Linked DNA regions of Arabidopsis thaliana. The protein of the gene in region 1 purifies or fractionates together with the protein of each later gene. This does not show direct contact. Each region holds a gene or a part of one and is shown on either strand. Other genes may lie near its edges. The genes, in order: DCL4 and PRL1.

Region 1 (4,945 bases):
GAGAAAGAGATTTATCATGTGACATGTATACATATAACTAGCTAGACAAAACCACTAAGCAAATAATTATAATTTTCTTTTTGCATGTTTGAAGTGTTGATATATAACGGTGCTAGCCAACATTTCCAATGTTGTAATGTTTTATAAAGCTTGATGAGAATTAAGAAGATGTTTATAAAAGAATCACATTTCCAATGATATTCACTCGGTATAGGTATATAACGACGTACTCATTTGTACTAATATTAAAAAGTTCTCGATAATAATCTTTTTTATTTTTAAATGCAAGACTTGCACCAACTTTCTCTATAATGGATAAAAGGTCGATGAATGATATTTTAGGGTTGACTAATTTGTTATACGATGATACAATCGAGTTTTATCCGATTATTACTATGGTAGTAAATAACGCGGTCAAATGTGGTCGAACCGAACTGGTGACGATCATAACATCAAATGTGGTCGAACCGAGTGACGATCAAAATATCAACATATGTGGTCGAACGACTGAAAACCAAACTAGCCAAAAACACACATCAACTTTTTTCGGTTTGGCTTAGTTACCCTAGAAGATTACCCTCAAACAAACAAAACCCAAAAAAATTAAAATATTAATTTTAAAATAGAAGAAACATATTTTAAGAAAAAGTCATTTCTTTTAATTGTTACTTTAGTTTTGGACACTACAAGCTGACCGAGTAGTCCAACATTCGATATGAAAGAAAGTGGCTCACTGCCTATATAGCTCTCGCCACTGGGAGAATACAAGGTTCGATCCTAGATTTTGATGGAATGTCAACCAAGATTCATAATTTGTGCACTTGTTTTTTCCCCATAATTTCTTAGTTAAAGGTACATCAATATAAATTTTAAGTAGTCAAGTGTGTCCAATCAACAAAAGGTAAATCTATAAAAATTTGGAAATTTATCAAAATGAATCAATGTAATGTTGTATAATATGGAAAAATATGTAGTTTAGATGTTTTTACTTTATAATACTTATCATTGCTGCATCACCACTCATATTAAAAATGACTAAATAAATACTCAAGTATGTGTTAACCTCATAAAAATGAAATGAGGTTAAACTTCTGCAATTTCACATATGGTAAATTGTTTCTAGAGCTAAAAGACCTGCAACAAGGTGATTCAATCTTCTTCTTCGACATTTAACAAGTCGGAAGTTCATGCTACAAATATCAGTACAAAAAATCATACTCTATCCATTTCAAATTAAATTTAGTTCAAGTGTATACGTAAATTTAAAAAATGAACGCATTTTAGATTTTCAAAATCTGAGATCAAATACCTAATTTAACCTTATCAAAATCAAGAGTCATCTAGATTGTAAGGGTATAATAGAAATTATAATGTTTTTAATAATTTTTTGTAAAAATTTTAAATGACACTTAAAGTAAAACGGAGAGAAGATAACTTAACAGCCACGAAATCGCGACTTGAGATTTCAAAGAGATAAAGTATTCATCTATGTACTTTGGCACATCAATACTCTTAAAATTTACCAAAATATGTAATATAACATCCCTAACCATCAACAACAATCAACATAAATTTTAATATATATGTTTTTGTAATTTTCGTAAAAATGTTAAAACAACACTTATAGTAAAACAAAGAGAGGATAACTTAACAGCCAAAGAATTGAGATTTGAGATTTCGAAGAGATAAGATATTCATCTATATATCTTGACACATCAGCACTCTAAAAATTTACCAAAAGATGTATTTTAAAATCTCTAAACTCAATAACTCCACAAAAATTTTCAGAATCAATGATTGTAGAAACACATGATTTCTGGTTCAGAATTTCACACACTCCACCCAAAAAAATACCCTTAAAAAGTTATAATTGTATTGATTAGCTGATAAAATCAATTTATTGGAAAGAAATCCTAATAATAACGCTGTAATAGAAGAGAAGAGAAGAGAGAGGGAGACGTGAGATCGTGAATTATGCGTGACGAAGTTGACTTGAGCTTGACCATTCCCTCGAAGCTTTTGGGGAAGCGAGACAGAGAACAAAAAAATTGTGAAGAAGAAAAAAACAAAAACAAAAAAGCTAAAAAGCAGCAAAAGGACCCAATTCTTCTTCACACTAGTGCTGCCACTCACAAGTTTCTTCCTCCTCCTTTGACCATGCCGTACAGTGAAATCGGCGACGATCTTCGCTCACTCGACTTTGACCACGCCGATGTTTCTTCCGACCTTCACCTCACTTCTTCTTCCTCTGTTTCTTCGTTTTCCTCTTCTTCGTCTTCTTTGTTCTCCGCGGCTGGTACGGATGATCCTTCACCGAAAATGGAGAAAGACCCTAGAAAAATCGCCAGGAGGTTCGATTTTTTCTCGTCTTTGCCAACACTTTTCATAGCTCGCATTATCTTCGGTTTTGCTTTGCTTCCTTGCTTACGATTTTGTACGGATGGTATTTTATCGATTCTGTTGTTGTATCGGATTGTCTTTAGGGAAAGATCGCGACGAGTTTTTTTTGTTTGTGTGTGTTGCTTGTGGTGAAATTCGTTTTTGAGAAGGCTTAATGATTTTGTTTCGCTGTATGAAGGTATCAGGTGGAGCTGTGTAAGAAAGCAACGGAGGAGAACGTTATTGTATATTTGGGTACAGGTTGTGGGAAGACTCACATTGCAGTGATGCTTATATATGAGCTTGGTCATTTGGTTCTTAGTCCCAAGAAAAGTGTTTGTATTTTTCTTGCTCCCACCGTGGCTTTGGTCGAACAGGTGTGAGGCTGTTCATCTTGATTATATGTCGGTGTTTAATGCGGATTGATTAGTTCTAACTGTCTTGAGTTTGTTGTTGTTTACAGCAAGCCAAGGTCATAGCGGACTCTGTCAACTTCAAAGTTGCAATACATTGTGGAGGCAAGAGGATTGTGAAGAGCCACTCGGAGTGGGAGAGAGAGATTGCAGCGAATGAGGTGATTTCCTGTTTTCTCATTCTATTTTTAGCCTATGAGACTCATTTAAGTTGATTGTTATTTCCATTTTACAATTATGTAGGAACCATCACTTTATTATATGCGATCTTCTTTCAATTGTTTGTTTTGTTCTTGGGACTGAATTTTCCTGCAGGTTCTTGTTATGACTCCACAAATACTTCTGCATAACTTACAGCACTGTTTCATCAAGATGGAGTGTATCTCCCTTCTAATATTTGATGAGTGTCACCATGCTCAACAACAAAGCAACCATCCTTATGCAGAAATCATGAAGGTATCTTCCTTCACATTATTGGTATATCGTGCTTGAAATATTATTAACATATAATCAACTTTTAGTTGCTCCACTTTGTTGCAAATGCAGGTTTTCTATAAATCGGAAAGTTTACAACGGCCTCGAATATTTGGAATGACTGCATCTCCAGTTGTTGGCAAAGGTAGGCCCATTTTTCTAATGGTGACTATGGATTGCTGGTCCATTACTGTCCAAAGATTTTATTATGATTTAGCTTCTGCATTGAGTTCCTTTTGTTCGTTCTCTTTCGGTTGTGAGGTTTGTCGTGATCTTGATAATACATGTTTACTTTTGATCATCTCGTTCTATAGATGGTCCACCTCTTGACAGCTTTACCTACTTTTCAGGGTCTTTTCAATCAGAGAATTTATCGAAAAGCATTAATAGCCTTGAAAATTTGCTCAATGCCAAGGTATGCTGGTTCTGAAATTCCCTTGGTTGGCTGTTGGCAGATGAACTTAGAACACATTTTTGGTATTTAAGTAGCAAGATATCTTTCCTAGAATTGAATACTGCCGGCTTATTTATATTGAGCCCTATCACGCTGTGTTTTGGGTGATACCAAAGTAGAAATAATACTCTGAGAAAGCTTGAATCTTTTGTTTTTTTTGGTATTTTCGGCCCAAGCTTATGGTACCAAACTAATCATTTATTGGAAGTCTAAGGCAGAAATATCTTTCTCATGTTTAGATTCGTACTAATGTTCTTACATTCAGTTGGTCTTTCGAAACAATGTTCTAAAATTTCCCTTTTTGTCTCTCGTGATCTGAAAGGTTTATTCAGTGGAAAGCAATGTCCAGCTGGATGGTTTTGTTTCATCTCCTTTAGTCAAAGTATATTATTATCGGTCAGCTTTAAGTGATGCATCTCAATCGACCATCAGATATGAAAACATGCTGGAGGACATCAAACAGCGGGTTGTCTAAATGTGTCTCATAAATCTTTTGAATCACTGTTCCTCGATATATGAGCTTATATTTCTTCCTGATATGAACAGTGCTTGGCATCACTTAAGCTGCTGATTGATACTCATCAAACACAAACCCTCCTAAGTATGAAAAGGCTTCTCAAAAGATCTCATGATAATCTCATATATACTCTGCTGAATCTTGGCCTCTGGGGAGCAATACAGGTAGAAATTTCATACTGAACCAATTTATAGATTTGATATCAGGTTTTCAGTTTTTGCTTTCAGATGTATTGATTACCTTGTATTTCCTGGTTTCTTCAATGTTTTACCAAGCAGCTGATGCATGTTTTAGGGTACAGTTATTACCATAATTGCCAACTATATTAAACTTTTGCATTAGTAGTGTACTAGATCGAAGTCAAAGACTACAATGACTGGCAAGATTCACAATAGCTGTACAATAGGGAAAAAGTGGAAAACAAATAAGGGTTTCTGTTAGATGCTTGCTGAATTGTATAAAAATTCCTAGAGATTTTTTTTGGTAAATTTATGTGCATGTTTCTATAATTTGTTACAACCATCTAACCTCGATATGTAAACTTACCTCTTTGCCAAATTAAAATTATGTATGTTGTTTCTTGTTGGTGTCATATGTGTCTTAATGCATGTTGTAGCGTGCTAATGTTTATTGTCTTCGTTTTTTGGAGGCTGCTAAAATCCAATTGAATAGTGACCATAATGTACAAGACGAGCCTGTGGGAAAGAA
Region 2 (6,497 bases), on another chromosome or scaffold:
CGTTTTGTCTCGGTGTAGGATGCGTTTCAGATCTTGGCGTGCAAAGAGATCCGTTTATCAGTTTCCAGAGGAGCATCGTCGGAGACAGCAGATATAGAGGAAGAAGGTGGAGATGCAGCAACTGCAAAAGGAAGGGCCATAACGCACGCTGTTAGAAAAGGTTTGATTCAGAACACGATTCCAATCTTCATTGAGCTCAAGAGGCTATTGGAGAGCAAGAACAGTCCTCTCACAGGTTCGCTCATGGACTGCCTCCGTGTCCTCCTCAAAGACTACAAGAACGAGATCGAAGAAATGCTTGTCGCTGACAAACAGCTTCAGAAAGAGCTTGTTTACGATATGCAGAAGCACGAGGCTGCAAAGGCAAGGTCCATGGCTAACCAAGGGGTTGCCTGCGGGACAAGTCATAGAAACGGTGAACCTGAAGCATCAGCAGCAAGCGAGGAGAATGTTAGAGATTCGGGATTGGAATCAAGAGTGGTTTCTGCGGCTGCTGATGTGGTGGCGGCTAAGGCAGCTAGGTCGGTGTTGAGAGAAGTGAACGGTGGAGCTGCAACGCCGCCTCTGAGCGCAATGAGTGTTCCGAAGCTAAGGTCGAGCCGTGGAGTTAGCCAGAGTGGTCGACCATCAGCTGATGTGTTGGAGTCTCTGAGAAGAAGACCAACTTTCATGTCTGATGATGAGAGTTAGAACTTAAAAATGAGACTGTAGAAAATAGCTTTTGCTGTAAATGCATGACTTCGATTTTTCTTTTTGGGAGATTAGATCGAGACTCTATTAAAGTCTAAATCGTATTTATAAACCGCATAAGACACTAAAACCTGGTGTGTGTGTGTGTGTGCGCGCATTTGTTTGCTTGCTCATGTTTGTCCTTGTGTGATAAATCCATCCCTGCCCTCAAATTGATTTATGTGTTGTATGTGTTGATTTTAGTGATAACATCTCAAAGTGATTAAATATTTTCAAAAATGCTATTTGATGTCTATAACGGCTTTAAAACTTTTGCAAGTTCATTAGAGCTATCTCTAGCACATATATGGCGCTTAGAGATGTTACGAATATGTAAGACTGATTACATATCTCTTTGGCTTAATAAATATAAGTATTTGTGTTGAACTCTTTATCTTCTTCTTGAAGATGTCTTATGGGAAACATGTTAAATGGATAGTAAATGAGAGATTCGAAAATATAGTGTGAGCTTCCTTCTTTGGTTTATGCATTCTCCATGTGGGGGGCAAGGTTTTTGAAGATTTATACTTTTGTGGCAAATCTCTTGTTTGAATACTCCATGGGAGTCTCTCATCAAAACTATGCTGCAAAATATTTGAAAATTTATAAATCTATTGTCTTTGAGAAAGTGTTACAAAATTTATGACCTCAATAATATTGCATGAAAACTTTCATACATCATTTGGTATATGTATGTTTAAGAAAAGGTAAAACCGTAATTATAAAGAGAAAGAAAATACAATATCTTAATACATATCAATCTAATTACTCATTAACCATATTAAGAAAATATGTGTCTTTATTTTTTCCTTTTAACATAAAGCTTAAAAAGAAGATTTGTAGCCAGAAAAATTAATTGTGTTCATTTCCCTTTTAAAAGAATTTTTCGGCGCAACAAAATCGTGAAATTGATATAAATAAACTCGAGATTATTAATATAACCCTTTTTCACTTCACTTCTCTTTCTCTCTAAACCCTAAAAGAAGAACGATGCCGGCTCCGACGACGGAGATCGAACCCATCGAAGCACAGTCACTGAAAAAGCTCAGTCTCAAATCCCTCAAACGATCACTTGAACTCTTCTCTCCCGTCCATGGCCAATTCCCTCCTCCTGACCCGGAAGCGTTAGTCTTCTTCGATCCCCAATTTTCGATTCGAATCTTCATTTTCTTCACTAAGTTTTTATGATTTCTTCGTTTTTTTTTTTTTTTTTTGCAGCAAGCAGATTCGTCTCAGCCATAAGGTAAAACATTGAGTCTCTCTTACCAGTCTTTAGAAATTTATTTCAGTTATTCGCTTTTAATGTCTATTGATTGGATTTTGGTTTAAAGCTTCGAACTTTAGGTTTATTCAGGTTTTTCCATAATTGTTCTAAATCTTCAGGTTTTGTTACCAATAATAGTAAAGATGGTTGATTTACTTAGACTCTCTCTCTCTCTCTGTTGTGTATGTTACTGATTTTAGAAGTTTTCTTTGTACAGATGAAAGTTGCGTTTGGAGGTGTAGAACCTGTTGTGAGTCAACCTCCACGTCAACCTGACCGCATCAATGAGCAGCCAGGACCTTCAAATGCTCTTTCCCTCGCAGGTGTTTTTCATATCACTATGTCTTGGTGAAAGATAAAAACTTGTTTCTTGTTTGCTATTTGCATTCTTATTTGTATTGGAAGGGATAAAATCATCTGCTTGATGAATTCTGCAGCTCCTGAAGGGTCTAAGAGTACGCAAAAGGGTGCGACAGAGAGTGCTATTGTTGTTGGTCCAACTTTACTGCGTCCAATACTGCCTAAAGGCTTGTAAGTGTTATCTTTTGTTGTTGGTTTCGTTGATCTGAATGCTAATTGATGGTTCTACTTTATCGTGAGGATGCTCATAAAAGAATTCGGTTCTCGAATTGAAGGAACTATACAGGTTCCTCAGGGAAGAGCACCACCATTATACCTGCAAATGTATCTTCATATCAAAGGTTTTTTTCTCGTCCTCATACTTGCTTTTCTTTATCTGGATTGCAATACATTAATGGCAGCTCTAGGTAGTGTAGGTAGTTCATGGGCATGCAAATTAGACTTCCCCCAATCTGAATTTTTTTGGTTTGTCCTTATAATGTAGCTTCTAATTCTGATTCCTTTTTTGTTGTTGCGTTCCTTTGCGTGTTACAGAAATCTGTCAACTGCTGCATTAATGGAGAGAATACCAAGTAGATGGCCCCGGCCAGAGTGGCATGCACCATGGAAGAATTACAGGGTAAAATCCGTGGCTCAGCATTGTTGCTGCATCATACGGATTTTGGTCTTTTGTTGGTCTCCAAAAAACTCTGGTTTGAGGAGTTACTTAACTTACGATTAATTATTCTTTTCACAGGTCATTCAGGGGCACTTGGGTTGGGTCAGATCTGTTGCGTTTGACCCGAGTAATGAATGGTTTTGTACTGGTTCAGCTGATCGTACCATCAAGGTAGCAGAGATGATTGCTTATTCAATATGAATTGTATTTTTTCGAATATGTTTTCTTGTTATACTTATAAGTCATGATACAAGACTTCCCTTCTATGGCTAGTTACTGGAGCTTAGTTTAGTGCATTGCCAAAAATCCACTACTTTGGCGATTGTAGAAGCAGTTCCGACTTTGGTATGTTTACTGAATTTATTACTTGTGTTTTATTCACTAGATATGGGATGTAGCAACTGGAGTTCTGAAGCTAACACTTACTGGGCATATCGAGCAAGTACGAGGTTAGCCTTTCAAATCTGTTCTCGTTTATTAATATTTGTTAGACTTTTCAATAAATAACACTCTCGGGACAAGTTACAAGTTTGGGCTCTTTTGTTTTGAATTTTGTTACAGGCCTCGCTGTAAGCAATCGACATACCTATATGTTCTCTGCTGGTGATGACAAGCAAGTCAAATGCTGGGACCTTGAGCAGAATAAGGTTACAACTCTATTCTCTTCATTATCTGGATTTCTCATATCTAATGCTCTTGGAATTTTTGATTTGATAGGTTATCCGATCTTATCATGGTCACTTGAGTGGTGTCTATTGCTTAGCTCTGCACCCAACTTTGGATGTTTTATTAACTGGGGGGCGAGACTCTGTCTGCAGGGTAAGGCAAAAATATTTATATCCATATTTATATATCTTCTCGTTTGAATTCTTGCACTTTGCTGGATTTGTAGTTTAAAAGTCCATGTTTACTTATTTGCAGGTGTGGGATATTCGTACCAAGATGCAAATTTTTGCACTCTCAGGACATGACAACACCGTTTGTTCTGTATTTACTCGTCCAACAGTAAGTCTCTTTTAATATGGACTTGTTGTTATGGTTTTTGGATTTCTTGCTGAATCTTTTTATAATAGTAACTGGAACTCACTTTGATCTGTGTTGTTGCAGGACCCACAAGTTGTCACCGGATCCCATGACACGACCATTAAATTTTGGGACCTTCGATATGGTATATCTTATCATTGTAACCATTGTTTGGACTTAAAATCCATATTATTTAAATCCTTCCTTATTTGATTATCAGTTGCTGCAAATATATGGTTTCATTTGAATAATGCTGTATTATTATTATATGCAGGAAAAACAATGTCAACGCTAACACATCATAAGAAATCTGTCCGAGCAATGACCCTCCATCCTAAAGAGTATGTGTAGTCGTACTGAATCTACTTTTGTGTATCGTGCTGAATCTACTTTATCTTTCCAATAGCGAAGTCTTTGCACCTAAACTTTTCCTTTATGTTATCTCTTTAATTTTCTTTTTAGGAATGCCTTTGCTTCTGCATCAGCTGACAACACCAAGAAATTTAGCCTTCCAAAGGGAGAGTTCTGCCACAACATGCTGTAAGTCTCTGCTAGATAATTATATACTTTGCATCTCCAGTGCTTTTGAAATAGGAGCTGTCATTATTAATTATGTAATTGATGTGTTTGAACAATGTTTATCTTTTTCCATGGAAAAGTTCGCAACAGAAAACCATAATTAATGCAATGGCTGTAAACGAGGATGGTGTGATGGTCACTGGAGGTATATAATCATTTCTGATTCCTTTCGTCCCTGTGATTGTTTTCCTTTGATAGTAAAATGGGTGAGACATAATCATTTTCAACTGAAACTGATTCTATATATGTGTGAATGAAGGTGATAATGGAAGTATATGGTTCTGGGACTGGAAGAGTGGTCACAGTTTCCAACAGTCAGAAACTATCGTACAGCCTGGTACGTACATTTATAGCTTTCATGGTCTTTTGCTCCTGATCTCCTTGTTATGGTAAGATGTAGAAGTCTCGGTATGTTCATACAACGTAGTCAAGTTTGAACCCTGGTAAAGACTCAAATGTTAGAAGTGTATGATACTATGATTGAGCTCTAGGGAAACCAAGAAAGTTGACGTAGGTTTATGGTTTATGTAAATGCCTATAGCGTCGTCTTACAAGCAAATAGTAAATGGGTCTTTAATTGGATGTGGTTGGGCATATGGCAGGTTCCCTGGAGAGTGAAGCGGGTATATATGCAGCGTGTTATGATAATACAGGTTCAAGATTGGTAACATGCGAGGCTGATAAGACGATAAAGATGTGGAAAGAAGATGAGAATGCAACTCCAGAAACTCATCCTATCAATTTCAAACCACCAAAGGAGATTAGGCGCTTCTAAATAACTTGTATCTGTAACTCAAAGCTCTTGTTGGAATCTCACTAATCTCTTCATGATTCTGTTTCCTAGATCAACTTTTGAGAGGGGACCTTTGTTTTGTGGTGGGGAGGAAACAAAAGGCCATGTACTTTATGTATTTTAAGGGCATTTGTAATTTTTTCTATCAACAATAATAGATCATGTATTGTTGTTTATGTTGAGAGAACTTTGTTACTTTTATCTCCCGTCTCTTGATTCTCTTCGTTAGTACTTATCGAAGATCTATCATGATTTCTGTGCAACCAAATCTGTGAAGTTTTGTAGGACGAATCTAAGTATTTGATCAACAACTTATATCTCTAGTCTCCACCACTGAAAGTTTTCAGCCTAAATTTTGGCTCGGGTTGTTTGGTTTATGAAGCTTTTATAGTGTAACTACACAGCTGATACGAAGAAACCAAGTGTAAAAACAAAACAGCTGATACGAAGAAACCAAGTGTAAAAACAAAAGAAAATATTGAAATAGTAAACAATTTGAATGGAAAAGATCCACTAAAAAGAGACGGTGATGGTGAGCTCGTTTGCGCGAAGACACCTGTGTGTTGGTTTTGCAATACGTAAGTGACACGTTCTAGTTATCATCATTCAGATCTCACCGACCTCTTCTGATCTTTTGTACCAAAGTATACTTGTTTATTCGCAGATCTTTTGTAGACTTTTCACCTTTTTAACTGCCAGTATCGTTTAGTGGAAGACGTACATTGGTTTTTACGTCTTCTATTTCTTTCAATTCAATCATCAAACTATCAAAGCATCAAACTATCATAGCTTTCTCACTAGTCACTTGTGGGTTTCTCGAAAACAGGCAAAAACATAAATAAAACCCCCCAAAAAAATGAATTAGCCATTTACTATTTTCACATTTCAGTTTTTAACCTTACTTTGGCAGTAAGTATGAGCAGTGGGTCCACAGTAAGGCCCATGAGCCCAAATTTCTCTGTCGTGGTCTATATAAGTGCGCCTAACCCAAACCCTAAAGTCTCTCGAAAAACCATCACCGGGGAATCTGACGGCGGCTTAGTACCGGCGGCTACTGCAAAAAGGATTGTGTTCTTCTTAGGCTTGATACT

The links.
Region 2: the proteins of DCL4 (region 1) and PRL1 purify together in Arabidopsis thaliana (affinity purification with western blotting, with the first as the bait; one study listed by BioGRID). This does not show direct contact.

The regions. Positions count from the first base shown.
Region 1 is NC_003076.8:6,866,098-6,871,042, reverse strand, and holds the start of DCL4 (dicer-like 4), read left to right. Parts: upstream 1-1,776; 5' UTR 1,777-1,974; coding exon 1,975-2,351; intron 2,352-2,578; coding exon 2,579-2,756; intron 2,757-2,842; coding exon 2,843-2,953; intron 2,954-3,076; exon of another isoform or gene 3,077-3,107; coding exon 3,108-3,248; intron 3,249-3,338; coding exon 3,339-3,411; intron 3,412-3,616; coding exon 3,617-3,681; intron 3,682-4,042; coding exon 4,043-4,186; intron 4,187-4,266; coding exon 4,267-4,401; intron 4,402-4,886; coding exon 4,887-4,945. UniProt on the Arabidopsis thaliana protein: Ribonuclease (RNase) III involved in RNA-mediated post-transcriptional gene silencing (PTGS).
Region 2 is NC_003075.7:9,022,056-9,028,552, forward strand, and holds PRL1 (pleiotropic regulatory locus 1), read left to right. Parts: upstream 1-1,610; 5' UTR 1,611-1,719; coding exon 1,720-1,853; intron 1,854-1,947; coding exon 1,948-1,972; intron 1,973-2,210; coding exon 2,211-2,316; intron 2,317-2,430; coding exon 2,431-2,524; intron 2,525-2,628; coding exon 2,629-2,694; intron 2,695-2,887; coding exon 2,888-2,972; intron 2,973-3,089; coding exon 3,090-3,182; intron 3,183-3,396; coding exon 3,397-3,460; intron 3,461-3,572; coding exon 3,573-3,658; intron 3,659-3,728; coding exon 3,729-3,830; intron 3,831-3,932; coding exon 3,933-4,016; intron 4,017-4,118; coding exon 4,119-4,179; intron 4,180-4,308; coding exon 4,309-4,375; intron 4,376-4,496; coding exon 4,497-4,574; intron 4,575-4,693; coding exon 4,694-4,758; intron 4,759-4,872; coding exon 4,873-4,950; intron 4,951-5,215; coding exon 5,216-5,388; 3' UTR 5,389-5,753; downstream 5,754-6,497. Other genes in the region: AT4G15890 (binding protein), read left to right, coding at 19-690. UniProt on the Arabidopsis thaliana protein: Pleiotropic regulator of glucose, stress and hormone responses. Also regulates cytochrome P450 CYP90A1/CPD.